Linked DNA regions of Arabidopsis thaliana. The protein of the gene in region 1 interacts with the protein of each later gene in a pairwise test. Each region holds a gene or a part of one and is shown on either strand. Other genes may lie near its edges.

Evidence for each region.
Region 2: the proteins of tny (region 1) and ADA2B interact in a two-hybrid assay, tested with the Arabidopsis thaliana proteins (one study listed by BioGRID).

What each region holds. Positions count from the first base shown.
Region 1 is NC_003076.8:8,986,037-8,989,589, forward strand, and holds tny (Integrase-type DNA-binding superfamily protein), read right to left. Parts: upstream 1,863-3,553; 5' UTR 1,597-1,862; coding exon 940-1,596; 3' UTR 506-939; downstream 1-505. UniProt on the Arabidopsis thaliana protein: Putative transcriptional activator.
Region 2 is NC_003075.7:9,262,098-9,268,152, reverse strand, and holds ADA2B (ADA2 2B), read left to right. Parts: upstream 1-1,995; 5' UTR 1,996-2,377; coding exon 2,378-2,427; intron 2,428-2,870; coding exon 2,871-2,926; intron 2,927-3,013; coding exon 3,014-3,186; intron 3,187-3,309; coding exon 3,310-3,375; intron 3,376-3,465; coding exon 3,466-3,591; intron 3,592-3,688; coding exon 3,689-3,764; intron 3,765-3,853; coding exon 3,854-3,902; intron 3,903-3,980; coding exon 3,981-4,000; intron 4,001-4,251; coding exon 4,252-4,471; intron 4,472-4,553; coding exon 4,554-4,764; intron 4,765-4,844; coding exon 4,845-5,069; intron 5,070-5,156; coding exon 5,157-5,348; 3' UTR 5,349-5,532; downstream 5,533-6,055. Other genes in the region: AT4G16430 (basic helix-loop-helix (bHLH) DNA-binding superfamily protein), read right to left, coding at 1-554; AT4G16410 (uncharacterized protein), read left to right, coding at 5,577-6,055; AT4G16400 (uncharacterized protein), read right to left, coding at 6,051-6,055. UniProt on the Arabidopsis thaliana protein: Required for the function of some acidic activation domains, which activate transcription from a distant site. The exact mechanism of action is not yet known.

The DNA of each region.
Region 1 (3,553 bases):
AAGTTTTTACGTTAATTTATTATTATTATATGTTAATCTTTGATTATATAGAAGTCATTTCAATAGATTCTGTTTTTATTTAATAAGATTAATGGATAGTGAGGAATTCTAATTACAGTTAATCATTAAAGTTTTTAGCCTTTTTTCAACGACGAAAAAGAAAAGATACGTAAGATCGTGACCAAAAAAAAAACAAAGTGGGATCCATTTTGAACCATTCATTACAGTTATTAATTTATTTACACATAGTATCAAACTAACTACACTTGTATTACAATATTACACAATATTGAACTTAGTGCTCCAGAGACCGAAGAGGAGATTCTTTTGTACTACTATTGGGTCGCAAAAGGAAATGCAATGAGTAAAAGTCATTGTTTGATTAGAATACAACAAGACTCGAATGCAAAATAATTCAAGTGTTTGGATATTTTAATATATATCAACTAATATTAAAATTCAATAACTGGTAGTGGAAACAGGAAAAGGCAAAAACAAACAATTGGTCAAGATTAATTTATGCTTAATCAGAAGAAAGTTTTAACCTCTAACTCTAAGGGGGAAAACAAGAAACTGAAAAGGAATCTTCAATAATTTTAAATCAACAACCTACATAGTTTTTATATCAATGTTATTAAAAACAACAGTATTACGTTTAAATTAACATTAACCTACATTCAAAATAGAAAGGTACGTGGCTTCCATTGGCTACTAGTCCAATTTATTCATTTCCAAAGTTTCCACATTTATTAAGAAAAAAAAAACACATGTTATGAGAAGTATGTACAAGTATTCATATATCGAGCTCTCTCACACCCACAAATTGAGAAAAGAAGATTCAAAGACAAATAAACCTAAAGCCGCCCTATACAAAATAAAGGGGTCATTAAAAAGTAATTATTAAACACAGCATTACTAGTATATTTTTATGATTATGACTTAATAATTATACAGTCCTTGAAGATCCCAATCTTGTGATAACGAGGCAGGAATCATTTGGTAATCACCTTCTGACCATTGCGGTGGATAAGGCCATAAGTCTGCGGAGTCAGAGAATATAAACTCGTTACCTAGCTGAGTCAAACCATCATAGCTCGATCCCAAACTTGGGAGCTCTACAATCTCCCCTAGCTCCTCGGAGCCGGTCGCGGAGGAAGACACGAGAGACTCTAGCGAAGAAGAAGACTGTGAAGATGAAAACGTTAAAGAAGAAGAAGAAGAAAAAGACTGTGAGGTCTCCATGTGTGCGGCTTTGAGAGCCGCGACCTGGATGTCTCGAGGGCTAAGCGAGCTAGGGCGTGGGAAAGAGCCGGCTAGGTCAGGGAAATTGAGTATAGCGGAGGCTCCTTTGATGCTAAGAGCGGCTACGTCGTGTGCACGCGCCGCCATCTCCGGGGAAGGAAACGTTCCTAGCCATATTCGGGATTTTTTCCTAGGTTCACGTATCTCGGACACCCATTTTCCCCAGTTCCTCTTTCGGACACCCCGATAAACCGGATGCTTACCGGAATCTTTAACCGGTTTCTTCTTCTCTTCTTCATTCTCTTGTCTGACTGCGCTAGCTTCCCAGCTCTTGGTACTCTCTGAAGCTATCATTGGTGAAGAGCTTTATACCAAAAACATCAATGCCACACTAAACCAATGTATTTATTTTTTTGGATTTCGAGGTATAGAAAAAAAAAAGTTTGAGGATATGATAAATGAATTATTTTGGGCAATGAGTAAATAATGAAGGAAAGTGAGAGACAGAGTTTGATGGGTATTTGTCTCTACATTTATCAATCACTTCCTTATTTATATGCAACAATTGTTTGAGGGTGGAGGTGGGGTGTGGTAGGGGTAAAGGGAGATATGGGACAAATATTGCACTAAGTCTTTAAGTAAGTAAAAGAAAAAAGGACCCACGGGCTAAATTGATTTGATGCTCTTAAAAGACCCGTACATATTTTTATCTATCATGACAACAGCATAAGTCCATATTTGCTTGTGTTTAGATGACCCTATTATCCTATTTTTTGTTTACTATTGAGAGAGGTGGTTTTTTTTTTTGGGTTTTGTTTATAGCTGGCTTTTGCCAATTTCATGTTGGATACATTCACTTGACAGAACAAATTTTGTGTGAGATCTAAATATAATAAATAGTTGTGACAACAGTCCACAAGTTTTCACATTTATTGCAAGTGATTCCACATTTTGGTAACTTATCCTAACCCTATAAATACGACTTGTATGTCGTATGAATAATAGGAGTATGTAACAACTCAATTATCAAGAAGTAAAAACTCTTTATAATAGAGTATCCACAAGTTATTATAAAAAGCTAGTATAAGACTTGTTTTCTTTTTTTATCAGCCATACATTAATTAATAACTAATTTTATGATTAGTTATTCAATTTGAAGATAAAAAGTTTACAAAAATAACTTCAGAAAACAATAATCTAAATGTCGAGCTAAACAATATAAGATTTGTTTTTATATATTAATAATGTTTCGTTTTTATCTAATTATATTTCTAATACAGTTATAGCATATAACATCATCAAATTTTGAAAGCATGAAAACTTTTTTGTCAAACAAACATGAAAACGTTATGATGTTATTAATAGTAAAATATAGCAGAAACAAATTCAATACATTATTCATTAATCATATATGTGTTATTATTTTGTTAAAAAGATAAAAAGGTAAAAATACACATCACTAAATTATCAAACCATATATTCAGCGTTTTATGGTTGTTAATCGTGTATAGTACTTAAAGTGTTTATCATGTGTCATAGAGATTATTATTCTGCTATAATACTTAGCTAAAATTGTATTATTTATTTTAAGAGGTTATTATGATTTTTGAAACAAAGGAAAAATAAGGTTAGAGCTAATGTAATTATGTAGAAGATGAGGATCTTATTTGCAACTAATCATCTCTCGTGTTTCCTAAAAGCAAATTTCATTAAAGTTCTCAATTTATAAATAAATAAAAGTCCCCTTTAGAATTCAAGAATCAAGAAAACATCGATATAACGAGATAAATTATTTTGGTGTAGAGCCGACATAATAATCTTTTATTTTAATACATGATCGTGACTTTTTATTAGATTTTATGAATTTTCTTCTTCGCGGAGAAAATGGTGTGTCAACTGTTTTTAGTTATTTTAATGTTTTCATCGCAAATTTACTGTTCAATTATCCCTTATCGTGATCTCAATGCATCATCATGCTTGTCACTACAAACTCATTATCTATACATATAATTCGAATATATTTTTTGTCAACTATAAAATTCAAATACTTTTTTTTGTCTAGCATGTGTGTTTATATATGCATACGCATATCAGGTTCGATAAATTTAAGTTGATTCGAGATTGTAAAGCTGCCAAGTCTAAACTTTCTTAAGGATTTCCGCATGCACGTTTTTATCCAAGAGATCCTTGCATCTAATTATTTCGACAGAAATAATTTTATTATGATTCTTTGACATTATTGCATTGTAATGATGTAGCCCCAAAAATTGTAAATAATTGTAGACAGTGCTTAAGTATTTATGAATTTTAA
Region 2 (6,055 bases), on another chromosome or scaffold:
AAGAAAGACCTAACCCTATAATAACTCAAGCAGCTAGGCAAATCTGCAGCCCAAAGAGGCTTCCCAGACACATAGGTTCCAGCAGGACCGTACTTATTGGTATCACACCTAAAGGAAAAGTACAAAGAAGCCAGATAAAACATGTCGAGATCAGTAAGAGCTCCTGATTTCACCAAACGATGATCTTCATCTGAACCAACGAACGACAAGTGAAGCTTGCGAAGCACACGTCTTTTGATCTCATCTTGCTGAGAGTAATCCTCACCTGAAGCACCCTTTTTGACACGGCAATGACCATCTCCCCAGATCAAGACACAACCATCAGAGCTATTAACGTTGGACGCTAGCCAGAAAAGAGCATAATCCCAATCAGATCCTTCAACAACGTGACGTAACCCTTGTTGGAGATTGGAATCACTTGGTGGTGAGACAAGCTTGGACAAGGCAGTGTTGGAAGCTGAAGCTGTTGAGATGAAAAAGTCGCAAGCTTCAGAGCCTATGGTGGATTCAACCATCGCTCGATCTTCTTGATTCTCCCAAAACTTTTGACCCATTTCTCCTGAAACGTTCATTGACATGGAATATACAAAAATTAGGGTATGGAATCAAATAAAATTAAAGGTATTTGGATTGAGATCGCTGCTTACAAATGAGATAGAAGATGATGGGTTTCGTGAGGAAGAGGAACGAGAATCACGTGATTCTTGCTGAGACACCGAATTTAGGGTTTGTTGGTGAAAAAGCAAAATCCTTTATAAAGGATATAACTCTAATTTATATTGCTGAGAAAGGAATGATCAAAGAGAAGACAAAACCTGAGCTTGGTTCACTTCAGATCTGTAGTGACTTGTTCTGAAATTGACGAAGAAAGAAGAAAAGAGGAAGAGACTATGCGAGAGAGAGAATATGGGTTTAATCGTAATTTAATACCAAGGACATCATTTCCTTCAGTTTTTTAACTGCAAACTATACTTTTGCCTTTTCTTACATACCAAACCACAAGTCATTGTGGTGTAATATCTATTCAACTACAAGTAAACCCATATCACTGGATTTTTGTCGAGATTATGTGTACATGTTGGGAAATTATTTCGTAGTACAACCTATTATGATGGGAGAATCGAAACTCGTCTTCTGAATTAACTTATCGCAAATCACCGTTAATAAGCGGAAAAGGAATTTACACATCTTACAATTATGCGCAAATACAATTGTTAATTGGATGAGTCATGCCATATTCTTGAGATGGTATGATAGGTATCATTACACCATGTAGTCAATCACGATTTTTTTGGATAATGTGGTTTAGAAGAACTAATCGCGTCTAATATAGACAAACTTATTCGTTCAGCAAAACAACAATTCGATATTTTTATTCGATTGACATGAGTCTTATAAAATTTATCACTAGATGTCTAATAAAAAAGGTTCAAACATTTCTAATAATTCGATTTTCGACCAAAATAAGAAACTTTAAATTAGCATCAAACTATCTTATATGGTTGTTTCCTTGCTTAACCTTCTTCCAAATCAATTTTTCAAATTAGCATCAATAAGATTTTAAAATACATCATAATGTTGTTCCGATAGTGTGTGACAACACTAACCATTTATTCCTATACAAGTTTATTTACTTGCTAATTCATTTACTGAAAATGTCCATGAACAAAATACCTAAAAACGAATAACCATAACCCAACCAAATATTAAAGACATCTCCATCAAGAAGAAACCCAAACAGTTTTTCAAACAAAAAGAATATTAGTATTTTATTATAATTTTATATATGATTAAATTTTTATTTTAGCGAACCAATTGAAAAGAGAAAAATATTATGATGGTTTGTATAAAGTATTTCATAGTTTAACGAGAAACATTCTACACTCTCTTTCTTTTCCTTTTATTATTTTTATTATTTTAATAATAAAAAATTACCAATAAAAATGGTCTATCTTAGCTTTTTTTTCTTCATTTTTTTTTCCCTCAACCACCATTCAACAATTAACATAAAAAATAATAGTTTTTTAAGTTGAAGTTATAAGAGTCAATTTAGTTTAAGTCATATGCTTTAGTAATAAGCATGACCGTCTAATCCCAAAAAATCTAAAAAGTACAGTGCCTTAGAAATTTCCTTTACCTCGACTTCCCTAATTTTAATCTTCTCGGTCGGAACTTCTGAATAATATTAGTAGAGATCCAAAACCTCACAAATTTCGACCGAGTTTTGTTGAATTCCGATTAGATCTTTCTTCCACGAAACCCCCCCAAGTACCCATTCCATCTTCTCCGGTGAGTCTCCCATGTTGGCATTACGCTAGGGTTCTTCTTCTCTGTGGTTTCGCATAACCCAATAATCCAATTTTCTACTTGGGCATCAATGGGTCGCTCTCGAGGGAACTTCCAAAATTTCGAAGACCCTACTCAGAGGTTTGTTCCTAATTCACTACTCTAATTTCCGATTTGGGGTTTTTGTGGATTTCTCTTTTGTAATTGCCAATTTGTGCTGAAATTGATTTGAATTTCAAGTTTCTTTGAGTCTGTGTTGTGCAATTGTCATTGATCTCTAGTTGGGACAATGAGCATGGCTTCAAATTTGTGGCTTTTGATAACTTTCAGTAGCTATAGTCTCCTCTATCTTCATCTATGTAATTGTGCCAATTTCTGCTGAAATTGATTGATTTTGAAGTTTCTTTGCATCTGCTTTGTGCAACAATCATTGATTTTTCAGTTGGGACAATGAGCATCGCTTAAAGTTTGTTGCTTTTGAAAACTTTCAGTAGCTATGTAGTCTCTTCTCTGTTTTCATCTGTGTAATTGTTTTTTCACTGTTGAAGCTGACATGAAAGAATCGTGTTATGCGTTTGTTGCAGAACGAGGAAAAAGAAAAATGCGGCTAATGTGGAGAACTTTGAGTCTACTTCTTTGGGTAAAAAAATACTTATCAAGGTTTTTTTTTTTTGTTTCTCCTGTCAAGATTCTTCTTTTACTCAACATTTTTTATTTGTGGAGACAGTACCAGGTGCTGAGGGAGGAGGGAAGTATAACTGCGATTATTGCCAGAAAGACATTACTGGAAAAATTAGGATAAAGTGTGCTGTCTGTCCAGATTTTGATCTCTGTATAGAATGTATGTCTGTTGGAGCAGAGATCACTCCTCACAAATGTGATCACCCATACCGAGTTATGGTTAGTTTTCATTTACTTTTCTTACCTTTTAGTTTGGAAAGAGTTTGATTCATTATACTTAGCGAAAATATCTTTTGGTTGAATTCTACCAAAGCTTAATATATGTTTCATTTGCTTTGTTAGGGAAATCTAACTTTCCCGCTTATTTGTCCTGACTGGAGTGCGGATGATGAAATGCTTCTCCTGGAGGTACCACTACTTCTTTTATCGTACTGATATGAAGTCTATAATGTCTGATTCTTTCAGTGAAAAGTAATTTCTTTTAATGTCTTTATTCAGGGACTTGAAATTTATGGCTTGGGAAACTGGGCAGAGGTTGCGGAGCACGTGGGAACGAAGAGTAAAGAACAGTGTCTTGAGCACTACAGAAACATCTATTTGAACTCACCATTTTTCCCACTTCCGGTATGCTACATCGATCTGATAAGATACCTATCTACCTCAGTAGTGCCAGCCTTTTGCAAGGTATTAACTAATTCAGGAGAAACGTTTATTTTCCCAGGATATGTCACATGTAGCAGGGAAGAACAGAAAAGAACTTCAAGCCATGGCTAAAGGACGCATTGATGACAAGAAAGGTATGCGCTTCTTTGCTTGATGGTTTTGATTCTGCGTTGTACGTGTTGCTATTTTAATTCTGATTTTGAAGTGGTTTCTTCTTTGGCAGCAGAGCAGAACATGAAAGAAGAGTACCCGTTCTCTCCTCCTAAAGTCAAGTATGTTTCTCGTTCTTCTCATGTACTGTACAGTGATAACCCTATAATTTTCTCATCTTTTGTTCAATTTTCTTGCAGAGTTGAAGACACACAAAAAGGTGAGTTCTTGCTTTGTATGCTATATCTGGTTCGTATATAGGTGTGCTTATCGTTTTGTTATTTACTTGCTCTAGCTTACACCAGTAGTTATAATCTAGTTAACCATCGCGTAAATGGAATCATCTACTTGTAAAGTAAGAAGCTGACTGAGCATAATTTTAAAATCCAAAAAGGCCCAATATTTGTCATTGTATTTATACTGGTAGATATTTTCTCCCTTTTTCTATGTTTTGACATTCTTTGTGGTTAGAGTCTTTTGTAGACAGAAGTTTTGGAGGGAAGAAACCTGTTTCCACCTCGGTAAACAACTCTTTGGTTGAGCTGAGTAATTACAACCAGAAAAGAGAAGAGTTTGACCCTGAATATGACAATGATGCTGAGCAACTCTTGGCGGAGATGGAGTTCAAAGAGAACGATACTCCTGAAGAACATGAACTGAAGCTGCGTGTGTTGCGTATCTATTCAAAAAGGTACAACATTTAAGATCAAAAGGGGAACAAAGTCTCTTCTTTTTGCTGTCCATTCTGACGCAGGTGAGTATGATGTTTGTAGGCTTGATGAGAGGAAACGTAGAAAAGAATTCATAATAGAAAGAAACCTGTTGTACCCAAATCCCTTTGAGAAGGACCTGTCTCAGGAGGAGAAAGTACAATGCCGACGTTTGGACGTTTTTATGCGTTTTCATTCAAAAGAGGAGCACGACGAGCTACTCCGTAATGTTGTAAGCGAGTACCGCATGGTGAAACGGCTCAAAGATCTCAAGGTAAGGACATTGCTACCCTCAAACTGTGCGTTTGGTTTCTTGGATTGGATGTGGCTCACTGTGTTGGATTGGTGGAGCAGGAAGCTCAAGTGGCAGGGTGTCGTTCAACGGCTGAAGCAGAGAGGTATCTGGGAAGGAAGAGGAAGAGAGAAAACGAAGAAGGGATGAACAGAGGGAAAGAGAGCGGTCAATTTGGTCAAATTGCAGGGGAGATGGGCTCTAGACCACCTGTGCAAGCTTCTTCAAGCTATGTGAATGATTTGGACTTGATTGGGTTCACGGAGTCGCAACTGCTGTCTGAATCCGTAAGTGTCTGAGAACTGAGATACTGAACAGTGTGAGATGAGTTTTCTGTCGTTGTAACTGAAAGAAGAAAGCTCTTTGTTTTGCAGGAGAAGCGTCTCTGCAGCGAGGTCAAGTTGGTTCCACCGGTTTATCTACAGATGCAACAAGTGATGTCACATGAGATATTCAAAGGGAATGTAACGAAGAAGTCGGATGCATATAGCCTTTTCAAGATTGATCCAACCAAAGTGGATCGAGTTTATGATATGCTTGTGAAGAAGGGTATTGCTCAACTTTAAGGCTTGTGTAGTGTTGTATCATATATATATATGTGTGAGCTCTAATGAGTTATTTGTTGACATTCCCTTGTTTATTACACCTTGTCAAAATTAGTTTGTAATAGAAAAACGATTAAGTTATCCACAGATTGTGAAAAGAGATAAGGTGAATCAGAGCCACACAATCTAAACCAAATGTTTTAGTATATAAGAAAGAATCTGACTCCTACAAGGAAAGGAAGAAGTGAGATGACGATGATGTCTCTCCCCAAAATGAGACTATCTTGTCTGCAACCACACCTCCATTTTACCAGTAGCAGATCAATAGCAGCAGCTCTAGCTTTTCCAAGCTCAAGCATAAGGAACAGAACATCATGTCTTGTTCGGTGTGGCTCAGCCAGAAGAAGATTGACTACGAAAAGTAGCAGAAACAGCAAGCTTGAAAGAGCACAACCTCCTCCTCTGGGTTTGGAACGGCACTGGAGATATGCTGTGGTTGGTGGAGTCTCTGTAGGGTTGATGATGGTTTTGGTATTGGGAATGGATGCAGAGAAAGCTATGGCGCTTGGACCAGAAGGTCCTTTAATGGAAGAGTTTTGGGACAACGTTAGAAGGTACGGTCTTTACGCTCTCACGGTTAGCACTGGAGCTCTCTCTGCTGTCTTTGAGCCCATCTTTGAGCTCCTCAAGAACCCAATCTCCGCCATTCTCATTCTACTCATCTTAGG